Pelodiscus sinensis: one gene and its partners. The protein of the gene in region 2 purifies or fractionates together with the protein of the main gene of each other region. This does not show direct contact. Links are inferred from orthologs where the notes say so. Each region holds a gene or a part of one and is shown on either strand. Other genes may lie near its edges. The genes, in order: FYTTD1, NXF1 and RANGAP1.

Region 1 (7,648 bases), on a different chromosome or scaffold from region 2:
TTGGGTCTAATTACAACAATCTATAAGGCTATGTCTACACTAGCAACTGAATGACAAAACTTTTGTCTTTGAGAGATGTTAAATGACATCCCCCCCAGACAAGTTTTGCCCATAAGTGCTCTCCTGCTAACAAAACTAATGCCACTTTTTCAGGACGGAAGTATTTAGCTGGCAAAAGAGCCAACACAAACAGCAGCTACACTGCCCAACTTTTAGCGATACGACTGTCGATATAGTTGTGTTGCTAAAAGTTAAGTAGTGTAAACTTACCTACCACATTTAAAGTGCAAAGCCACAATGGGATTAGCTCCTGGGGCCAGCACAAGCCAAGACTGAACAGTCCTGGGACCACTACAGCTTTGCTTCCTGTCCCCCATCCCCACACCACAGAGATAGTGCTGGGACCCCTGCAGACAGAGGCTACTGCCAGAACAGCCTCCCTGAACCTCTCCCCTGCCCGATAGAGCCAGTATGGGGGAAAGTGGCACTACAGAGACAGTGCTGGGGAAAACTAGCTTTTAAGCTGACTCCTCCCAGCACCCACTCCTTCCCCTTGACTAATTGACTACCCACTTACATCCCTAGTAGGGGCCTAATCATAATACACAAACAAAAATCAACTCTGTCCTCCCACATTCCTATCTTTAAGGGAGCACTGAAACAGTATGTCACAAGTTTTGATCAAATGTAGGACTGTGTTTAGCCACTTGCCAAAGACCACTTGTCATACAATATAAATGGGCAAATTGTAGGCACCCTCATATTTTGAGTTGATCCGCAAAGAAAAATACAACAGCTTGTTCTCTTTTTTGCATCTTCATATGCATAAAGGCAACAAAGTTGTTATTCCCTCTTAAAAAAACCACAACTCTTTTACATTAAGATTCAGGTCTTGTTCTCCCCACACTTTTGGGAAACTTGATGGTAAGATAATGAATGGGATTAAGACCTCTCAAATTCAAGGTAAAATGGAATTAAAGAGAGATTTGTTTTAGGCAGTGTTTAAATGCAGCTGTTTTGGTCAACCCCCACTTAATCCTATAATTTCCATAAGGTGAAAAAAAAGCTCTCTTGGCTAAAGCCTGGCCATTTCCATGGTGAATACACCTGCGTTTCTGAGGTCTTGCCAATGGGTCAAGCAGCAAAAACAGGCAAGGGTGCGATTGCTAAAGTGAGAGATCCAAGCAGCAGCTTTTCTACTTAGGCGACGAGGAGTCCTGTGGCACCTTATAGACTAACTGAAGTGTAGGAGCATAAGCTTTCGTGGGCAAAGACCCACTTCGTCAGATGCATTTAGTGGAAGTTTCCAGAGGCAGGAATAAATATGCAGGCCAGGATCAGGCTGGAGATGATGAGGTGGATCCAATCAAGGAGGATGAGGCCCACTTCTAGCAGCTGATCTGGAGGTGTGAATTCCAAGAGAGCAGAAGCTGCTTTTGTAGTTAGCGAGCCATTCACAGTCTTTGTTTAATCCAGAGTTGATTATGTCAAACTTAAAGATGAACTGTAGCTCAGCAGTTTCTCTTTGAAGTCTGGTCCTGAAGTTTTTTTGCTGCAGGATGGCTACTTTTAGATCTGCAATTGTGTGTCCAGGAAGATTGAAGTGTTCCCCTACAGGTTTTTGTATGTTGCCATTCCTAATATCAGATTTGTGTCCATTGATTCTTTTACGTAGGGACTGTCCTGTTTGGCCGATGTATATAGCAGTGGAGCATTGTTGGCACATGATGGCATATATTACGTTGGTGGATGTGCAGGAGAATGTACCAGTGACAGTATGGCTGATCTGGTTAGGTCCTGTGATGGTGTTGCTGGTGTATATGTGTGGGCAGAGTTGGCACCGAGGTTTGTTGCAAGGATTGGTTCCTGAGTTCGGGTTATTATGGTGCGTTGTGTAGTTGCTGGTGAGAATATGCTTCAGGTTGGCGGGTTGTCTGTGGGCAAGGACTTCAAAGAGGAACTGCTGAGCTACAGTTCATCTTTAAGTTTGACACAATCAACTCTGGATTAAACAAAGACTGTGAATGGCTCGCTAACTACAAAAGCAGCTTCTGCTCTCTTGGAATTCACACCTCCAGATCAGCTGCTAGAAGTGGGCCTCATCCTCCTTGATTGGATCATCTCCAGCCTGAGCCTGGCCTGCATATTTATTCCTGCCTCTGGAAATTTCCACTACATGCATCTGACGAAGCGGGTCTTTGCCCACGAAAGCTTATGCTCCTACACTTCAGTCAGTCTATAAGGTGCCACAGGACTCCTCGTCGCTTTTGCGGATTCAGACTAACACGGCTACCCCTCTGCTACTTTTCTACTTAGGAGAACAATGCCTGGCCTTCCCACAGTAACAAAAAACGGGAACAGAAGCGTGAGTCACTGCGCCAGGCCTCGTCCCCTCCCTGAGTAGTCTCCTTTGCAGGGCAGGCCGGGCCAGACTTCCCTCCCCTTGCAGGGCAGGCCTCGAGCAGACTCCCCCCTCTCAGCACGGTGGGGCTCAGCCCGCCCGCCTCCCCCCTGCGGCAGTGGGGCCTGCATCTCCCCAGCCTGAGGCTAGGTGGGCTGCACGTGCCAGGCCCTGAGACACCGGCCCCCCCGCCGCCCCTCGGGCAGGGGACGTGTCCCCGGAAGTGCTCTCAGGAGCCGCCCCCTGCCATGCGGCCCCCCGCGCCCCTACACTGAACCCTAGGCCCAGCCTCCCCCCGCGGTCTCCAGAAGTGGTCGCGCCCACCCCCCTCGCGCGAGACCCACAGGTGGTTCGGTCCCAACGACTCCCCACTCGCCCCCCCACCCCGTAGCTCGGCCCACGGGCGGCGTCGCCGGGAGGGGCCGCAGCCACCCGGCCCCCACTCACCCAGCGACATGTCGATCTTCTCCAGGCTCTCGCTGCTGCCGCTCCGGGCACCGGAGGTGGCCGCCCGGACTCGGAACCCATTCATGGCCGCCCCCCCCCCTACGCGACTGGCCCAACGGCCGCGCACTCTGCACATGCGCAGATAGCCGCGCCAAGCGACCCAGAAGCCCGTGCCGTGACTGGCCTTTGCGCGAGTAGAATGGGCTAGGCGCGTGCGCACTCGGTAATGCGCGCCGCCTCAGGCGGGGCTGCACATGCGTGGAAGAGGGAGAGGCTCAGTGAGGCGCTCTAGCTTCCTCCCGCGAGGCAACCTGTGGTGTCACTCTTGGGGTGCCCTCTACAGGCTAGGAGGAGCGTATCCAGCCAGAGCTGGCGAGTGACTTCCTCATGCGTCCTTGTGCAAACAGCCTCCTATTCGACTAGCGACCTGTGAAAATGCCCCAGTGAATGACTAAATATCACCAATGCAGGCACACACCTTTGCATGCAACTAAAGATCTTGCTGCAATGCCGCTCGTCCTATACGGGATTAAATTGTTCAAATACCATGTCCCATTGCCCTCCACCTCCAACTAAATACTTGGGAGAGCCGTGATTTCATCCATGCAAATAGTCTCGCCACCAATGCAGATTGCAACTTTTCCACACCATCCTGTTTTGCACGATTCTTGTCCATGCTCTTCCATGAATCTTCTATAAAGGATCCACCTAATGCTGGAGGCCTTCTTCCTGTTATCTTGATATCATTGACCCCGCTTCTTGTGTGCAAATTTTCAATAGTAACATGCTGTAAACCTATTTACACCCACGATATGTCTTTCCTTCAGGTAGGAATAAGAGATCCTCCGGAAAAGGGCTTTATTCCGGAGGATCGTGCCAGTCTAGATGCTTTTTTCCTGCTTTTCCCCAAGCCGGAAAAAAAGCGGCGGACATGTTTATTTAAATCCCGCGGGGGATATTTAACTCCCCCGCGGATTTCCCTATTCCAAAGTCTGAAATTAGCATGGCTATTTCGGAATAGGGGCCAGTCTAGACGTAGCCCTTGTGTGGCCAATTAGGTATCTTAACACACAGCAAAATACCCATCATAAATAACCCAGTGCACTACTATATATACCTGACTGGTTATTTATATTCCTGACTGGTTCTATAGAATTACCAAGCCAAGTACTAATAGGGTTGCCAGGTGTCTGGTATTGATCTGGTCAGCTTGGTATTTGTGCCTTCAGTCCGGTAAAAAAAATTCAGTGGCCCGCAAATTATAGGGGCTGCGACTGCATTTAGGCCCTAGCTCCTCACCCCCATCCCCTCCCTTTTTTTTTTTTTTTTGCTCAACAGAATTTTTCCCGATTTTTTTGGGAGGGGGATTCCGTATTTTTTGTGAAACTATCTGGCAACCCTAACTACTAATGTTAATATTATCATCAAAATATTATATAGACCTGATTTCTGCATTGATATGGTGCTGGAACGGAGCATTGGTTGGTAGCAACATTCACCTGCTCTGAGACACAGATTGTTGGCTAAACCCATGACAAATCAATTAAGTATCAAAGGTGTCAGAAGCTGTTTGTCCAGGTGGCAGGTGAATATCACACAAATCACAGACAGGCTGCACAATAGCCATTCATGGCTCTTATTATCCAAACCAGCAGGTCACAACTGGACATATTCAAAAGAAATGTGAACAAAGGCTCCGATCTTAACAGATATTAACTTCATCCTCTCAATGCCCCCAAATGGACAAGGTCTTTTAGGGGTCATTGAGGTTAATGAAGGAAACATCAGGTCTTTGACTTATATGTAGATTTCATGAGTGTGCAAAATGTCTAGCTAATGATAGATAAGAGGAACTGCCCAGGCCTGTTGCTATCATTGTGTAGAACTAATCCTTAACCTTATAACAGATTTAGCTCTATCCCAAACTGTATTTTCTCTCCCACCCCCATCGTCCATCTTTAGCATGGACTCTGGAAATGCCACTGACAATAGTAATCTTTGCTCTTTTAGGATGACAGTTTCATTTGGAAGAACAAGGAGAAGTCCTGTGGCAGTTTATAGACTAACAGATTTATTGGAGCATAAGCTTTCATGGGCTAGCAGATTGACTTCGTCAGATGCAAGAGTTTTATTTGAGGATCTGTAGCAATCTAGTTTGTAGTTTTTGATCTTTTAAATCCAGTAATTTGTATATGGTTTAGGTTTTGATCTAGGTTAGGGTCTTGACACTTAGTGTCTGCTGAAGTTTTTGCTGTTGCTACAGCCTGGGAAGATACGGGGAAGGACGGAGTGGAATGTGCTTTAGCTGCATTTAGTCATGTAGCAATTGGAAGTGGAGAGAAAAAATACTGTTTTGGTAGGAGCACCGGGAGTTGAATGCTCTGAATACCTCGTTACTAGAGTTTTTGAATTTGAAATAAAAATCCGGTCCAAATATCCTCCCGTACCCGAATGGCACAAATTACGTTTCCTGTGCAAGTGTCCCCGTTGGCTGACAATTACATAACTTTGGGCAACTGTTTTGACTGCAGTCCTCGTGCAAACACCCGCCCCCGGCTAATAGCCCCTCGTGCACTGCCAGCTCGATTCCGTGGCAGTGCCTGGGGACCGGCCGCCCGCGCTCCCGCAGGACTCACGCCGCAGTGCATTGTGGGGATTGTAGTTTCGTCGCGCGGCGCTGCGTGCGAGGGGCGGGCTCGCCGAGTGCGGTGCGTGCTGGGAGCTGCGGGACCAGCCGGCGCGGCTCGCAGGGGGCTGGGCCCGGCCGCGCGGGGAGCAGGAGGCGAGCCCCGGCCGGCATGGAGATCGGGCGCTGCGCGGAGCAGGAGGCGAGCAGGTGGGAGCGCGCTGCGGGGGGCGGCCAGGCATGGGGGAAAGGGGAGAGGGGGGGCATGGGGGGCAGCGGGAGAGGGGGGCATGGGGGGCAGCGGGCTTGGGGGGAAAGGGGAGAGTGGGGGCATGGGGGGAAGCGGGAGAGGGGGGGCATGGGGGGCAGCGGGAGAGGGGGGGCATGGGGAGAGTGGGGGCATGGGGGGAAAGGGGAGAGTGGGGGCATGGGGGGCAGCGGGAGAGTGGGGGTATGGGGGCAGCGGGCTTGGGGGGAAAGGGGAGAGTGGGGGCATGGGGGGCAGTGGGCTTGGGGGTGGCGGGGAGCTGGGGGAAGGGGGAGAGTGGGGATATGGGGGGCAGTGGGCTTGGGGGGCAGCAGGAGAGTGGGGACATGGGGGGCAGTGGGCTTGGGGGTGGCGGGGAGCTGGGGGAAGGGGGAGAGTGGGGATATGGGGGGCAGTGGGCTTGGGGGGCAGCAGGAGAGTGGGGACATGGGGGGCAGTGGGCTTGGGGGTGGCGGGGAGCTGGGGGAAGGGGGAGAGTGGGGATATGGGGGCAGTGGGCTTGGGGGTGGCAGGGGAGCTGGGCCATAGGGGCAGTAGGTTGAGGGGCATGGGGGAGCTGGGACATGGGGGAGTGAGGGCATAGGGGTCAGTGGGATGGGGAAAGGTGGGGGAGCTGGGATATAGGGGCAGTGAGTTTGGGGGTGGTAGGGGAGCTGGGTCAGCGGGGGAGCTGGGACATGGGGGCAGTGCGTCTGGGGGTGATAGGTGATAGCATGCAGGGGAAACATGATTGGGCTGGCAGTGGGGGAGCTGGGGCACAGCAGGGACAGCAGCTGGGGGGGGTGCCAGCAGGGTGAATGGGCATGGTGGAAGTAGTGGGATGGGTGGTGCTGCCAGGGGAGCTTGTTTACAGTTGGGGGCACAGGTTGGGGGTGTGCATGGTGGTATTGGCACGGAGCAAGGATCAGTCGTTGGGCAGAGCAAGTTGTGTATGATTGTGGCTGTAACAGAGCCGTGGCTGTAACAGAGCCATGGCATGTGGCTGTGTAGGAGTGTGTGTAGAGAGCGATGCAGCACTGAGCCCGCTCCAGGCATGCCAGGAGCAGTCGGAGGTAAAGAAGTCTGGACTGAGCTGTCTGCAGGTGTGAGTTGAATACCAGATGCTCCTTAGGTATCTAGCAGATGGAGCGTCCAAAGACAGCAGCTGCCAAATCTCTTCTCTTGTTTTACGAGCTGTCCTCAGATGAGAAACCACCCTGTTCAGACACTGGAAACAAGGGGCATCATCAGAACAGGGTGTCATGTTTGGATTACATCTTGTTCTGTCCCCGGCAACTGGTTGCATTGCTTAAAAAGGTTGCCTGTGTTTAAAATAAATCCATAACCTGAATGCTTGTGGTTGCTAAGGTCTTTCGTGTTCAGGTGCAAGTTTGACTTGGAGTCTGCGGCGCTGTGGTGCCATACGCTGGCAGTTAAACACAAATTCATTTGAACTAAAATAATGTACACTTTGAATAGACTAAATGATGATTGATCAGCTGAGTACACAAAGCCTTCTGTGTTATTTATTTTGATAATAGTGCGTGGGATCACTTGATGATTCCCCGTTCTATTTGTTCTCTGACTATGGGGCACCTGGCATTGGCCGATGTCAGAAGCAGGATGCTGGTCTTGATGGACTTTTGATCTGAGCGAGAGTGGCCGTTCTGATCTTATAAATTCCATTTGGTCTACTCAGTCCCCACATTTTTGGTTTTCATGGTACCATTGAGACTTGCATTGGAAACACAGAACTGCATTATAGAGGCTGACCTATGCTTCAGTGGATGTGTAAGGGGCAGTTGAGGTTGTTGGCATCTGGGGGAGGTAGTTTGCGATAAGCCCGTTAGTTGGACTGTTCTGCTAATATTATCAGCAGTAAAAAAGTAGAGGCTCTCTCCCCCCCCCCCCCCCCCCCCCACTGGAA
Region 2 (7,548 bases):
GCGGACATGTTCTGGAGAGAGCTCAGAAGCCATGACTTTTCATACTTCTTTCCATAGGGAATCTAGGAAAAAAAGGCACTTGTAAGTGGCATGTAAGCTTGCAGCAAACTATAGGACTGGGAGCAAAGGAGGTCTCTGGGAACAGTCCCATGGGTGCATCAACCAATGGGCAACAGGGTCCATCTCTCCTCTCAGCCAGAGAGCTGCCTGCTGGCCAGATACCTGGCAACCAACTGGACATTGTGCCCCCTTCACAAATTAAGTCAGAGTGTCCATGCAAAGGTGAGGTGGGGTGTCCTGATAGTTATTCTACTCCAGGGGTGGAGAACCTAAGACACAGGGGCTGGATGTGGCACCCAGCTTGCCTGGATCCAGAGCCTATGCTGGCGCTCCAGCCCCCTGCTGCCTCCCCATGAGGCCAAAGTGCACAAATCTACTAGCCTGGGCCCCACAAGGCTCTGGTGTGCGAGGGGAATATGGGAAGTGTCTTTTTCTCCTCCTCAATCAGGGGCCACATCAGTGAGATTTGGTTTTGGGATGGTTGGGTTTTTTTGCTTCTCACTTGTGTGCTGCCCCCGACTGATTTTACTGTGGGTCAGTAGCTCCTGACCCAAAAGAGGTTCCCTGCCCCGGTTCTATTACATTCAATGATGATAATCATTCGGTGCAAGCATATGCTCCCCGCTGTATGCTGCACTGACTCTGCACTATGGATTTAAAATGTGAAGTTTAACTAGTTCATCAATTAAGGTGAGGGGCACTTCAGCCCACACACACACCCAGGCCCTTGCCACGGCCAGAGCTGCCCCATGCCTGCGATGTGCCCAGACCTGCCACAGACAGGGCTCCAGCCCCCACTAGTTAACTAGAACTGGTAAGCATCACCTGTTAATGGTGATGCCTACCAGTTAACCTTTCACATCCCTACTCTGCACAGGTAGCCAGGACAGCAGACTCCAAGAGAGCTCCCAAAGACCACAAAATCCAATAAGGATCAAAGACACCAGGCCAGGTTTATTGTCAAACAAAATACAATAATAATTATCCATAGACTTTATTAAACCACTACACATGTGTACACCCTCACAATGAACTCAGAGTTCAATTAATGGGAGGTCCCACTGCCTCCTAGGCAGGACAGAGACAGCCCCACCAAGACACATCTTTATACACAGGTACAAACAAGTTACCCACCACTACTGATGTATCTGGTTGACACCCGCTGTCATTACCTAGGTACCACCCATTACCTTGCATCTGGTGGCTCGATCAAAAACATCTCTAGCCATCATGCTGTCAATTTAGACCCTTCATTGAACCTGGGTCAGAATGTCCCTGTTATCTGTGGGGAGTGTGTTGGTACCAAGATTTTTAACAAGATGTCCTGTTACTATCCCTCTGAAATGTGCTTCCAGCCTGTGCCTAATATCAATTAGTGTTTTACGGCTTGGACCTGCCTTTTGCTCACAGATTAACTTTGCTTTATTTATATTAGCAAAATCTTGATTATTGTAGGTCAAGCCTCAGGCCTTATAATAGGCCTGTGGCTTATACTTTAGACCCTGATCTTACTGCACCAGGTTAACAGGCTGTGGGGTAGGGATTTGGCCACATTCCCTGCTCCCTCCCTCACCCTCTGGCACTCACTGTGACCTTGTACCACCTCCTCCGGTTACTGTTGCGAATAGCACTGGCACCCCGGTCCTGGGAAGTGGGCTCTTGTTTCACTGTGACATGGATGTTGGTGGCACCTCCCCGGCCCCGGTTGTGCCAATCATCACCTCGCCTGTTCAGCCGTGGCCCATAGGGAGCACTGGGAAGCAGAGGGACACAAGCTGTTAACATTAAAAGGATGGGGAGGATACTTTGAAAGCTAATGAATCCAGAAACACCTGCTTGAACCCTGTGGTCCTCGCTGCATTGGGATGAAATGTCTACAGCAGTCCCCAGACACACAGGCCCCACTTATCCCCAACACAGGAACAACATAGCTTTCCCTAGTACCCAATCAAGGGCTAAAATGCTGCTAATGCCACCTGGAGGGAAAAGCCCCATATCCCATTCCTTCCCTCCCGCCACCAACCAGCTCCCCCCCGCCCTTGGGACCTGACTAAAACTGGCATCCCAACACCCCGAGGCACTCCACCACACACAATGCCAACAGCACTTCTTACTCACTATCTAGTTCGAAGGCTGTCATGGGCGTCACTCATGGGAACATCTCCATCACTCTCCTCCACCTGACCAGAAGGACTATGACCTGCTACACCTCGGTTCCAAGAACGGTGGTTCACTTCACTGTACATCTTGCCTCGGAACGGGCCCCGGCCTTTTCTCCTTCTCCCAGAGAAGCCCCCACCACCCACACGGTCGTCATGTTCTGTTCAGAGGAGCAGAAGGGGCATCAGACACCATCCAGGAACTTTCCTCCTTGAATGCTCAACACATGGCAAACCACCTACAGGAACCCCTGGACCCTCTTGGGCCCTGCATCAGTAGAGATGAGGAAATCCTACTGATCTGCCTATTGCCACCACAGGGCCCCTCCCCCCAGCCCTTCGACTGCACCCATCCCCCCAGAGCCCCTGGGCTGGGAAACGGGGGGGGGACCGGGGAGGCTCCCAGAAATAGGGAAGCCAGATCCCAACAGACTAGCCCCATGCAGCACCCCCCCCGAGACTCCACAGACCCCCCAGAACCCACCCCAGCCTCCTCCCCACCCCGCCCTCAGACCCCCTCCCCGCCGGACCCCATGGCTCCGCCCCCACAGACACCACCCCCACGAGTGTCCACAGGCCTCAGCCACAGCCCTCCCCGACCCGCGTCACCAGCCCCCTCACCGCTGTAGCCCCCTTTCCCTTCCTCTGCCATCGAGGGGGGGCTTCGCGCGCCGCTCCTGGGCGGGGGAGGGGAAGGAAAATCTCCTACTTAGCCGAGCGGGGGGAACCAGGCAACCGATTCCACCGCTCGGCTCCGCTGCCCCAGCGCATGCGTAAACAGCTCCCGGAAGGTGCGCATGCGGTGGGTGGGACAACCGAAGGCATTGCGCATGCGTAGTTCAGCAGCTCATGAGTACAGGGCGTCCGACACTTTCCGTTGAGAAGATACGCGTGCGCCGAGTTACGCCTCCCCTTATTTGCTTCCGAGGAGGCGGAGCTATTACGCATGCTCAGAAAAGCCCGACCTCTCAACGCGGTTGAGAAAGCTGGGCTGCGCATACTAGCCAAGCGCCCCCTTGCATTGCAGGGCGGTAGCTGCTGGAAGGATGGGTTCCCAGGGACGGAGTTCTTCTTAGGCCGCGGGTTCGAATCTGTCCTGCAGCGACCGCCAGGACCCTCCCCCCCCGCAGGGGAATCTGCGTTCAAGTTGCATCTGAACAAAGAATGTGACAGAGCGACCCCTTCTATCTCATTATCTGCCTTTGCTCCTCTTCCTTCCCCCATCCCTAAGGTCCTGGGTTCAAGTTTCACTGGGGATCCTGGTCTACATTTGGTGGTTGCAGCAGCCACCATCTGCCTCAGTCCCCGGGATTAACCCCAGTGCAGGCACCCAGTTTCAGCAGCCAGGAGTGTTATTATTATTCCTTCCCCTCCTTGCACTGCAAGACACACACGCTCCCAGGGGGCCTCAACTGTGGCAGAAGATCCTGCTTGCCCTGTGCTCTTCTTGTGCTGGGGCTGATGTATATCAGAGGGATGCTATTCTAGCAGTCAAATCCAGCTTCAGGGGCAAAGGAGGTGTAGAAAGGTGTGAGGGGTGGCAGAAGCAGCCTATCTCCAGTGCTGTGTGCCAAAATTAAGATACGTGCTCCCAGGATGAGCAAGTACAAAGTCAACCCTTTCTCCACTTGCCATTTCACCCTCAGTCCCTGGAGGCAGGAGATCAAGTAGAAACCACAGGTTTCATTTTAACATTACCCTAAGGTTTCTAGCCCCCATGTTTGGAGAGAAAAGATGAAAATCATTATCAGAGCCCAAAAATGATTTTATAAAATAGAAATCTGGTGATTTTTATGGAAGGAAATTCATGATTTTTTTAAGAACACAAGAGCAGCCATACTGGGTTAGATCAATGGTCCACCTAGCCCAGAATCCTGTCTTCCAACAGTGGCCAATGCCAGGTGCCCCAGACAGAATGAACAGAATAAGTAGTCATCAAGTGATCCCTCCCCTGTCACCCCGCCCTAGCCTCTGACAGAGACTAGGGACACCTTTCCTACCCAGTCTAGCTAATAGCCATTGATGAACCTATTTTCCATGAATTTATCTAGTTCTTTTTTGAACCCGTTAAAGTACTTGTCTTCACAACATCCTCTGGCAAGGCGTTCCAAAGGATGACTCTGTGCTGTGTGAAGAAATGCTTCCTTTTGTTTTAAACCTGCTACCTATTAATTTCAATTGGTGACCCCTAGTTCTTGAGTTATGGGGAAAAGTAGGTAACTTTTCCTTATTTACTTTCTCCACACAAGTCATGATTTTATACACCTCTATTGTATCCCCCTTGCTTAGTCTTCTCTTTTCTAAGATGAAAAGGCCCAGTCTTTTTAATCTCTCTTCATATGGCAGCCATTCCAAACAACTAATAATTTTTGTTGCCCTTTTTTTGAACTTTTTCTAATGTCAAGGTATCTTTTTTAAGATGAGGCTACCACATCTGCACACAGTATTCAAAATGTGGGTGTACAGATGTGGTAGCCTCATGGATTCATAGAATACTAGAACAGGAAGGGACCTTGAGAGGTCATCAAGTACAGTCTCCTGTACTCCCAGAAGGATCAAATATCATCTAGATCAGGGCTACTCAACTTTGGAAGCCCCGGGGGCCACATTGATACTCACAGCACATGCCGAGAGCTGCAACTTAAGTGTGGTTGCATATACATGCAAATAGATATGCAAATAGCTTATTTCACACTGATAGGCATGAATACAAAGATTAAGCCTTAAGCCATGGTGCTGGACCCAAACATGGTCAGTGTGAGCCAGTCTGCACTTCTCAGGCTCTGCCGACAAGGTTAAGCAGCCAGCACTTCCCACAATGCCCCAATGCTCCCAGCACCTCTTCCTGGGGGCTAGAAATGCCAACACCCTGTACCAGTCAGTTCCAGCCAGCCCATCTGCTTGCATGCTTCGATGCTCACCCTGCCTGAGATGCCTCGCCATCGTGGAGCATGTTCCCAGTGGAGGCCATGTTCAAAGCATCCCACTTACGGGTCAATGTTGAGCTCTGCGTAAACCCAAACTACATCGCAGGCCTCAAATGGGGAATGTGCTGCAAGTGGCTCACGTGTTGAGTAGCCCTGATTTAAGAATCATTTCCGATAGATGTCTATCTAACCTGCTCTTGAATGTCTCCAATGATAGAGATTCCATAACCTCCCTAGGCAATTTATTCCAGTGTTTAACCATCCTGAAAGGAAGTTTTTTCTAAGGTACGTCTACACTGCACACTTTGTTTTGAAATAAGCAATAGTTTCGAAATAGCAAGTTTACACTGCAGGGAAGCCTCAAAATGAGTCCAAGGCCGGCTTCCCTAATGTAGACGTGCTATCTCGATTTAGAGCTGCAAGAGGCACTGGGGAAGAATAACCTAGAATGGCCCTGGTGAGGGGCTATTTCAAAATAGCAGCAGTGGAGCATGTAAGCATCTACACATGTCTTATTTCAAAATAGCTATTTCAGAATAGCCATTATTCCTCATAGGATGAGGTTTTCAGATTTCGGAATAAGGTGTCTGTTATTTCAAAATAATGGAATGGCTGTGTAGACACATTGTTATTTCGAAATAACTCTAGTTATCTCGAAATAACGGTGCAGTGTAGATGCACCCCAATGTCCATCCTAAACCTCTCTTGTTGCAATTTAAGCCCATTGCTTCTTGTCCTATCATCAGAGGTCAAGGAGAAAAATGTCTCTCCCTACTCATTACACCCTTGTAGGTACTTGAAAATTGCTAACACAGGGGTGGCCAACTCATTCTGGGCAAAGAGGCAAGATAGCAGTGGATCCAGCACAAAGAACCGGAGCAAAGCTGTCGAGCAAAACAAGACAAAAAAAGTCTAAATAAGGCTCTGCCCCTTTAAGAAACTGCATTTAAATGCATTTTGAGGTTTCTTGGCCACAGCAGGCTCCTGCTGCCTTCCACCATCTTTATTTCTGCAGCTTTCATGGCTGCTCTGGAGAGCTCCCCTGCCCAGCAGGGCCAGCCTGAGCCCTTTTGGTGCCCTGGGCCCAGGCGCACGGCCCCACCCCCCCAAGGTGCGCAGGCCTGCCCCCGGGGCACATGTGCTGCCCAGCCCGGCCCAGCCAGCGTTGCTGGCACGCGTGCTGGGCCGTGCAGGGCCCCGCGGCCGTGGGGGGAAGGGCACTGCTGGCCGGCTCTGCAGGGCCAGTGCTGCGGGAGCCGGGCACGCGGCGCCTGATGGCAGCTGTAAGTGATGCTGCGCGCCCCTTACAGCTGCCATCAGGTGCCCCTCATCAGTTGACGCCCCGGGCAGCTGCCCAGCTCGCCCATGCCTCAGTCCAGCCCTGCTGGATGTGGCTCACAAAACACCCACCCACCCATGACTTGAAAGCCACCCCAAAAAACAGTCCTCTCCTGGCTCCCTGTGCTGACCTGGGCAGCAAGGCCGGACTCAGGTTGGCCTCAGCTGTGCTAACATATCCCCTCTCAATCTTCTCTTTTCCAAACTAAGACCCAGTTCTTTCAGTCTTCCCTCATGACTCATGTTCTCTAGACCTTTAAGCATTTTTGTTGCTCTTCTTTATACACTCTCCAATTTCTCCACATCTTTCTTAAAATGTGGTGCCCTGAATTAGACACAATACTCCAACTGAGGCCTAATCAGTGCAGAGCAGAGCGGTAGATATTATCTGGCTCATTCTCTATCCCTTTTTTAACGATTCCTAACATTGTTTGCTTTTGTGACTGATGCTGCATATTGAGTGATGTTTTCAGAGAATGAGCCACAGTGACTCCAAGATCTCTCTCTCGAGTGGAAATAGCTAATTTAGTTACCATCATTTTGTACATATAATTTGGGATTATTTTTCCAATAGGCATTACCAAGATTAAAATTCATTTGCCATTTTGCCAATTCATTTGGGGGAGGGATAGCTCAGTGGTTTGAGCATTGGCCTGCTAAACCCAGAGTTGTAAATTCAATCCTTGTAGAGGCCATTTAGGGATTTGGGGCAAAAATTTGTCAGGATGGTACTTGGTCCTGCTGTGAAGGCAGGGGACTGGACTTGATGACCTTTCAAGGTCCCTTCCAGTTCTAGGAGATAGGCAATCTCCATTAATTTTTAATTTTTTTTTTGTTGCCCAGTCACAGTTTTGTGAGGTCTTTTTGAATCTCTTCACAATCTGCTTTGGACTTCACTATCTTGAGCAGTTTGGTATCATCTGCACATTTTGTCACCTCACTGTTTACTCCTTTCTCCAGATCATTTATGGGTATGTTGAATAGGATTGGTCTCAGTACAGATCCCTGCAGGACCTCTCTCCATTCTGAAAACTGACCATTTATTCCTGCTGTGTCCTATTTCT
Region 3 (7,899 bases), on a different chromosome or scaffold from region 2:
GGGAAGGACGGCTCGACGGATACAGAAGCAGCACCCGGGGAGGGTTATGTGTAATCGTGAAGTTTTACTGATAAACCCAGGCTTTTACATATTTACATTATCACATCTCTGGTACTTATCCAGTCTAGCTGTAACTGTAACAAGCAACGTGGCGATTTTCCACCTTTTTTCCTGATGGACTGTGCAAAATTTACCACGTCAGGCAGTGGAATAGTCTAAGATTCTCTTGGATTTAGGGATGTTAAATATTGGTTAATTGAATAGTTGAGTAACCTCATGAATTCTTATTGGTTAGTTGATTATTCTATAGTCCCCAGGGGTGGGGCTGGCAGTCACTGTATCAGAGGCAGCAGTGCAGGGTGTCAGGCAGGAGCTGGTCCATGAGGGGAGCCAGTTTAAAAACCAGTTCACCTTGAAGTCCAGCTGCCTGTTGTCCAGTGCTGCTGCCTCTAATAAAGAGGCAGCAGCGTGGGGTGGCAGCAACCCCTGTCTAAGGTGGGTCTGAGTTCCTGGACTCAGCACAAGATGGAACTGAACCAGGCTGCTTGCTTGCCTGGCTCCTAATACACTTCAAATAAAGAACCGCAGCAGGAGCAGGTACTGGACCCGGTGTGAGCCAGAACTGAGCTGAGCTGCTGGTAAGTCTGCTAAAACATGTACTGGTAAGTGTGGGGGGAGGGAAACGCATGTAGTCTATAGCATTAACCTATAAGCTTTTGCTTATTGGTTAATCGACCATACAGGCAGTCCCCAGGTTACGAACAAGATAGGGATGTAGGTTTGTTCTTAAGTTGAATTTGTACATAAGTCGGAACTGGCGTCCAGATTCAGCCACTGCTGAAACTGACCAGCAGCTGACTACAGGAAGCCTGAGGCACAGTTTCTCTGCCCCGGGCTTCCTGGAATCAGCCACTGATCAGTTTCAACAGCAGCTGAATCTGGATGCCTCGGACAGAGCAACTGGGGCGCTGCCGGGTAGGTCCCTGCAGCGCCGCACCTCGGCGCTGCGGGGACCAAACCGGCAGCACCCCAGCTGCTCTACCCCAGGTGTCCCCAAGTCAGCTGCTGCTGAAACTGATCAGCAGCTGATTCCAGGAAGCCCAGGGCAAAGCAACTCTGCCTCTGGCTTCCTGTAGTCAGCCGCTGCTGGTCAGTTTCAGCAGCGGCTGACTTGGGGACGCCTGGGGCAGAGCAGCTGGGGTGCTGCTGGATTGGTCCAGTAGCGCCGAGGAGCGGCGCTGCGGGACCAACCAGCAGGGCCCCAGCTGCTCTACCACAGGCGTCCGCAAGAAAAGCCTGCTCTGCTGGGGGGGGGGGGAGGGCGCACTAGCTGCATCCCCCCCCCAGCAGACCAGGGAGACGCAGGCAGTGGGACCGAGGCGCGTCTGGGCAGTCCCGCCGCCCGCGCCCTCCGGGGCGAGAAAAGCCCCGTTCGTAAGTACAGATCCGACATAAGTCGGAGCCGCGTAACCCGGGGACTGCCTGTACTATTACACCCCTACTTTGATTGACTCAGTCTTCTGATCTTGCTTGAATATGTTTCATACTATATTAGATAATTCTTCTTCATTTGGTAATTGCACACGAGGCTTTTGTGGATTCTTAGTAGGGCTGTAAAATCCCATTTAAAATGTTAACCAATTAAACTATATGTTAACTGGTTGACTATATGTTGCAGGCGGGGGGGGTGGGTTGGAGAAAGAGGGGGACACTTGAGCAGCCCCTCGGATGGCCTGCTACACTGCATCATGAGGCTGCTTCAGCCTAGCCAGGCCCCAGCCTGGTGCGCCGTGGGCAGGGGCTGCTCTGGCCAGTCAACTGGTTACCCCGGTAAATATACCGGTAGGGCAATGCTTGCCAGGTAATTGATTAACCCTCTACATCCCTAATTCTTAGCTCAGTTTTGACTAATGAGTGGCCTAAGTGATCTCAGAAGTTTTTCTCTCTCAGGATATGTCTACATTACAGCAACTACAGGTTCACATCACTACTCTACTTCCCAATAAGCATATGCTTATCGGGTAGCTGACTAGTCACTTACATCCCTAGTGCTGGGAATGGTCTCACATTGGACTGCTTCCTGAGTCTGCAGATTTGGGGGGGGGGGGGGGGTGGCTCTGTCCCTGTGCTGCAACAGGCTGAAGAGACAGGCTCAACAACATAGGCTCACAGCTGTAAGGGAAAACAGGCTTTGTGATGTCTCAGCACCTCAGGCGACAGACCCAAGGTGGAGGGTTGCCCAACCCATCACACTCACCCCAGAATGACATAAGTTATACTGAAGCAATCTGTAGTGCAGAGATAGCCACACTAATAGATGATCTGATAATAGCTATTACCACACACACACACTCCTCCGTCTCTCTAATATCCTGGGACCCACAAGGCTACAGCACCACAGGAAGCTGTTTGCCCAGCTGCTTGCTCGGTGACACACTCCGACCGCCCTCCCCCCGACTTCCGCGGCTGCTCTCTGCGGTTACGGCTCCCTGGCGATGTACTCAGGGCGCGACGCGCCAGGTGAGGCTGCCCCAGCGAGCCTCAGTGATGCAACAAGCCTGGCTGCGCAGCACAGAGTCACTCACCCGCCCGGCCCGGCGGCCGAGCCCAGGGGAAGCGGCAGCCACAAGAGCAGCGCGGCTTGGGCCGGGCCACGCAGCAACCGGGCGGGACTCGGCTCCCGGAGCGCGTGGCGCGGCGGGCAGGGGGCGCAGGACCAGACGCCCGGGGCACCCCCCACCCCGCCCCCGAGTCGGGGGGCAGCCAGGAGGGGACGCCCCCGCACAGGCGCTGGGAAACCCCGCCGGGGCGCTGCGCCAGGAGGGGCCCCGCGCACACCGGGCTGGAGAAGCGTCAGGATCCCGCTCCCCGACCCCGCCAACTTCCTGGCGACCCTACAGTAAACAAGCCGCGCGGCCCCTGGGCCCGCTCACCTGCGCGCGCTGCCGTCGGGTGTGGGTCGGACGCGCCCGGCTCCAGCCTGTCACGCCGAGGCCGATGGCGCAGGGGGAGGCGGAGGATTTCAAACCCGGCAGTTTTGTTTTCCCGGCTCTGATTGGCTCGCGAGGCCTCTCGCCCGCCCGTCGCGGTGGCGTAGGCGACAGTTCTTCCCCGTGCGGCATGCTGGGAATTGTGGTTTCCTTGGAGACCCTGGTGAGGTTTGATGCGCGGCAGAGAAGACTACGAGCCCCGTGATGCATTGCGCTGGGGGCTCGCTGTGCCGTGGAGCAGGCCGGGAATTGTAGTTCCACAAGAGAAGAACGCGGCGTGGACTATCGTTCCCAGGATGCCTCGCGCAGCGCCGGCTATTAAAAGGGAGAGGGCGGGCAGGCGAGGCAGAATCGGAGGTCAGAGGCCTGGTGGGTACCTGGCTGTGCGTCACTAGGAGTTTTGTTGCGGTTTTCGTTCAGAGTGGGTAGCAGCTATTTCCATTCTCGTTTGAACCTGCCGGTTCCACAGCTGGGATGGTTGCCAAGCTTTGAACTTGCAAGTCCTGCAGCTCCATGCGACTGTCAAAGTTTACCAGAAACATTTGGTACACACACAGCATGTGCATGGACGTGTTGGGATGCAATTAAATGCTTTGATGTAAGTCATTAGAGAGATGAGTGTGACTCACTAACAGACCAATGTCTGTTGTTAAAAGAGAGAAGTGTTCAAGTGAACACAGTGATAGAAATGTAGCCGTGTTAGTCTGGTGTAGCTGAAACAAAATACAGGACTATGTAGCACTTTAAAGACTAACAAGATGGTTTATTAGATGATGAGCTTTCGTGGGCCAGACCCACTTCCTCAGATCTGAAGAAGAGCTCTGTGTATGTAGCTCAAAAGCTTATTTCTCTCACCAACTGGAGTTGGTCTAGTAAAAGACATTATTACCTCACTTACCTTATCTCTCTAATATCGTGGGACTGACATGGCAACTTCAACATGACATACTCTCTTATCAGTCTATAAAGAACAGAAATGAGAAGTCAGACTGGTTTTAAGACTTACTACACCCTGATGCTCAACTTTTGATAGTATTTGTTCATACAATGTTATAAGTAAATCAGATTATTTTTCTTGTAATATGTGAAAGCATTTTCTCACTTCTGTGCACACTTTATATTTGTTTTATAGCATGCAATGGTTTGTTGTTAAAATAGAATTAACACAGAAATTATACTAATGGCATTTTTTTTACAAAGACATCAAGAAAGAGTGGTTAGATGAGGTGATGTGTTATGATACTTATTGATTATGGTTGTAAGTAGATATGGAACCAGTAGTAAGGCTCAAGAGATATCTACTGGTTTTCTACAGTCTCTGTTATTTGTGAAGTATTTGAAGTAAATAATATGTGCATGAAATAGGTGAACAAGGATTGTGTAAAAGAAAGAAACTACAAGATGTCAAGTACAGAAAAGCCATTGACAGGATTGAGTCCATCTGGCAAAACTGAATGGTGTACTCCTGGAGGAATTCTGCACTAGTGGGCGTGCCCTGCTACATTCATTACACCATCCTGCTCATGGAGACAGATTAGGAAACACAGAATATGGGGGGAGAGAGAAATCACAGACTGGGGCAAGGGCATAGGTGCTTATGGGGTGACAACATTGAGTTAGGAGTTGATTAGCAAGGGACTGTAGGGTTACATGGTGACTGGAGGTAGAGGACTGCCAGGACAGATGAGGATGGGGGTGATGGGACTGTAGGGATGCATGGGAACTGGGGGAGGAATGGGGCAGATGTGCCTGATTGAATGGGATGGGGTCAGTCAGCATCTGCATGTGGGATTCTCCCTAACATACTTTCCCCCAAAAAAACAGTTTTATACTTCTTCCATCCACACCAATAACCCTCCAAGTTCACTCCCAGGCTCCTTCCATCTCCCTCACCTCCTATGCTACTTATGATTCCGCAAAGCCTTTAGATTGCTTCTGAGGGGTGTGGGAAATACCTTTCTATATTGTAGCTTAAATGAATTACTTGAAGTTCCTTATTAATTTGCCTAGGAATTTCAGGAATCTATTTGTTTGAAAAAATCCTTTTTTTTGTCCATATTATTAGAGACATATTTGCTGACAGATATTTTGAAATAAATTACCAAATAATTGAAACTGGCATAATTATATGGTGTTATTTTAACAAATACAATTTGGAGAATTTTAAAATATTGTATGTCGAATTTTTATTTTTTGGCACAGGATTTTTAATTTTTGGTGCAAAAATGGACACTCTTGCGCAAAACAGTTCTTGCGCAAGAAGCCTGCAGTGTAGATGTAGCCTAGCTCTGTGGATCTGCTGTTCAGCTGAGCAGCATTTGAATCTCTCCTGAGCAATCACATAAGCACATAGCTTACAGGGAGCTCTGATTATGACACAAGAAGGGGAGCCTGGATGTGTATATGTTCATGATCCAGTGCCAAAGAATAATGCTGCAACTTTTTCCATGATATTTGAGGCAGAGAAAGAGGTCAAAGGAAAGGCCTCAACCATGAAGGAGAGGCAGAAATATATTCTTCAGTGACTAATCACAGTGTATGAAGCCATCTGGGCTGTGAATTTGCAACGAATTTTGAAAGATGATTTAATGCTTGTCCTTTTGGCATTAGGATAGAGAAATGGCAGTCTGAGAACAAGCACAAAAACAATACTGACAGCTGGTGTCCATTGCCCACCCAAAATTATCCCTATTGGGAGAAACTGTAAGGAAAACCTTGCAATATTTTTATCTGAGCGACTAATTACACAAGCACCACCAGATAAAATCTTTGTTCTGACTTGTGGTTTTCAGGCTGAAGCTGAAGTCTGGTGCTGGACAGCAATAGTTGACCCCCACCAGCTGTGTACTCATCAGGAAGAAACAGACATAAGAATTATTTTACAATGTCTCCATGGTGAATGCCATCAGTGTGGTTGCTAAAGTCAGGAGCTCTGATGTGCTTAATCTTTTGCTGGCTCGCTATAGCAAAATGGCATATAGACAACTTTGGATGAAAACTAGCACATCAAAGGAACCAAAGTACTTTCCTAGTCATGCCATTTGTGTGTGAGCAACTACAATATGGGGCCACTTTTGGAAACTCTGCTCCCATCTCATGCCCTGAGTGGGTGTGATGCTACCTCTTTTATTGCTGGACCAAGCAAAAAGATTACATGGCTTTAACACACATTGGACAGAGTGAGCTGGACTCAGAAAAGATTAAAAGTACAGGTTTCTTTGTAAGATGTATAGCTTGCCAGAGGTCACCACTGACAAAGCACATGTCATTTTGTTCACGTACTTGTGGTTATCAGTAACTATACTTTATCAATGAAGGTGCTAACTACTTTCTGAATGGTATCCTTCCTGCCTTATCTATCCACAGACATTGATCTTTATCTACTCAGGTTTAGCACCCTTTCTCCCTATACTTTATGCACAGAGGTAGGAGGGTGGGCAACAGAACATCTTTCCCCCCCCCCCCTTCCCTTCTCCTATTTATTTTGAGTTTCCTTATCCTCTAATCATAACTCTGGTCATCTGAAGAAGTGGGCTGTGCCCACAGAAGCTCATGATACCATCTACATGTTTTGTTAGTCTATAGAGTGCTCCCAGACCATTTGCTTGCTGTTTTTTTTCTGTAACAGACAAACTCGGCTACCCCCTGAAGCTCCTGTACTTCCAACAGATGGCGCTCTTTTCTTCCACATAGAGATTGTTATTAAGCACTAGTTTGGAAACAGACCCACTGCCCAAATCTAGTACTTCCTCTTCCAAATAGAGTGCTTTGGAAATAGGAGAACAAGGATCTGGTGCTATAGTTGCTGTCAAAAGCATTTACGCAAGAGGGCTTTTGCCCAAATGGGAGCAGCATAGTATTTCCACAAGAACACTGACAATCTTACATGAGATCGTCGGTGTTCTTGCAGAAATTCAAGCGGCCAGTGTAGACAGCTGGCAAGTTTTCTGCTTTTGCAGAAAAACTTGCCAGTCTAGACGCAGCCGGTATGTAAATCAGCAATGACTTGTTTTTATAGCAAATGTAGAGCACTGGAACAAGATTGTGTGGAGGCACCTGTTCCTCAGTGTTTTAAGGCCAGTATTAACAAATATGTAATACAGGCAGTCCCCGGGTTACGTACAAGATAGGGACTGTAGGTTTGTTCTTAAGTTGAATCTGTATGTAAGTCGGAACTGGCATCCAGATTCAGCCGCTGAATCTGGACACCAGTTCTGACTTACATACAGATTCAACTTAAGAACCCCAGGGTCCCCAAGTCAGCTGCTGCTGCAACTGATCAGCAGCTGATTCCAGGAAGCCCGGGGCAGAGCAACTCTGCCTCGGGCTTCCTGTAGTCAGCCGCTGGTCAGTTTCAGCAGCGGCTAACTTGGGGACGCCTGGGGCAGAGCAGCTCGGGTGCTGCTGGGTTGGTCCAGTAGCGCAGCTGCTCCTCGGCTGCAGACCAGGGAGACGCTGAGCAAAGCGGCGGAGGACCCGGGGCCGGACCCGCGGCCGCTTCCAGATCAGCTGGAAGCGCTGCGGGTCTGGCCCCGGGTCCTGCGCCGCTTTGCTCCCCGTCTCCCTGGTCTGCTGGCTCCTGCAGCAGACCAGGGAGATGGGGAGCAGCTTTTCTCGCCCCGGAGGAGGCGGGCGGCGGGACCAGGCGTCCCGCCGCTCCAGTCCTCCGGGGCGAGAAAATCCCTGTTTGTATCTGCGGATCCGACATAAGTCGGATCCGCGTAACTTGGGGACTGCCTGTATGTCACAGTAAATGACCAAATAAGACATTAATTCAATCTGCCCTTGTGGTCCAAGTTTTCTTGAAATAGTACAATATTAACGTGCTTAACTTGTATGCATTAAAATGTTATCTCCATGTTTAGTAAAGAAAATGTTTTCACTTATTTTAAAAATGAGTGTTTTCAAG

What was found.
Region 1: the proteins of NXF1 (region 2) and FYTTD1 purify together in Homo sapiens (affinity purification with western blotting; 3 studies listed by BioGRID and IntAct, with this or other methods). This does not show direct contact. The link is inferred for Pelodiscus sinensis from reciprocal best matches to the Homo sapiens genes NXF1 and FYTTD1.
Region 3: the proteins of NXF1 (region 2) and RANGAP1 purify together in Homo sapiens (co-immunoprecipitation; 3 studies listed by BioGRID and IntAct, with this or other methods). This does not show direct contact. The link is inferred for Pelodiscus sinensis from reciprocal best matches to the Homo sapiens genes NXF1 and RANGAP1.

Annotation. Positions count from the first base shown.
Region 1 is NC_134720.1:50,951,899-50,959,546, forward strand, and holds the start of FYTTD1 (UAP56-interacting factor), read right to left. Parts: upstream 3,053-7,648; 5' UTR 2,985-3,052; coding exon 2,849-2,984; intron 1-2,848. Other genes in the region: RUBCN (run domain Beclin-1-interacting and cysteine-rich domain-containing protein), read left to right, coding at 5,647-5,684. UniProt on the Homo sapiens protein: Required for mRNA export from the nucleus to the cytoplasm. Acts as an adapter that uses the DDX39B/UAP56-NFX1 pathway to ensure efficient mRNA export and delivering to the nuclear pore.
Region 2 is NC_134721.1:36,439,901-36,447,448, forward strand, and holds the start of NXF1 (nuclear RNA export factor 1), read right to left. Parts: upstream 3,016-7,548; 5' UTR 2,872-3,015; coding exon 2,841-2,871; intron 2,381-2,840; coding exon 2,179-2,380; intron 1,814-2,178; coding exon 1,648-1,813; intron 63-1,647; coding exon 1-62.
Region 3 is NC_134711.1:89,278,212-89,286,110, reverse strand, and holds the start of RANGAP1 (ran GTPase-activating protein 1), read right to left. Parts: upstream 3,070-7,899; 5' UTR 2,934-3,069; intron 2,280-2,933; exon of another isoform or gene 2,258-2,279; intron 2,173-2,257; exon of another isoform or gene 2,042-2,172; intron 1-2,041. UniProt on the Homo sapiens protein: GTPase activator for RAN. Converts cytoplasmic GTP-bound RAN to GDP-bound RAN, which is essential for RAN-mediated nuclear import and export. Mediates dissociation of cargo from nuclear export complexes containing XPO1, RAN and RANBP2 after nuclear export.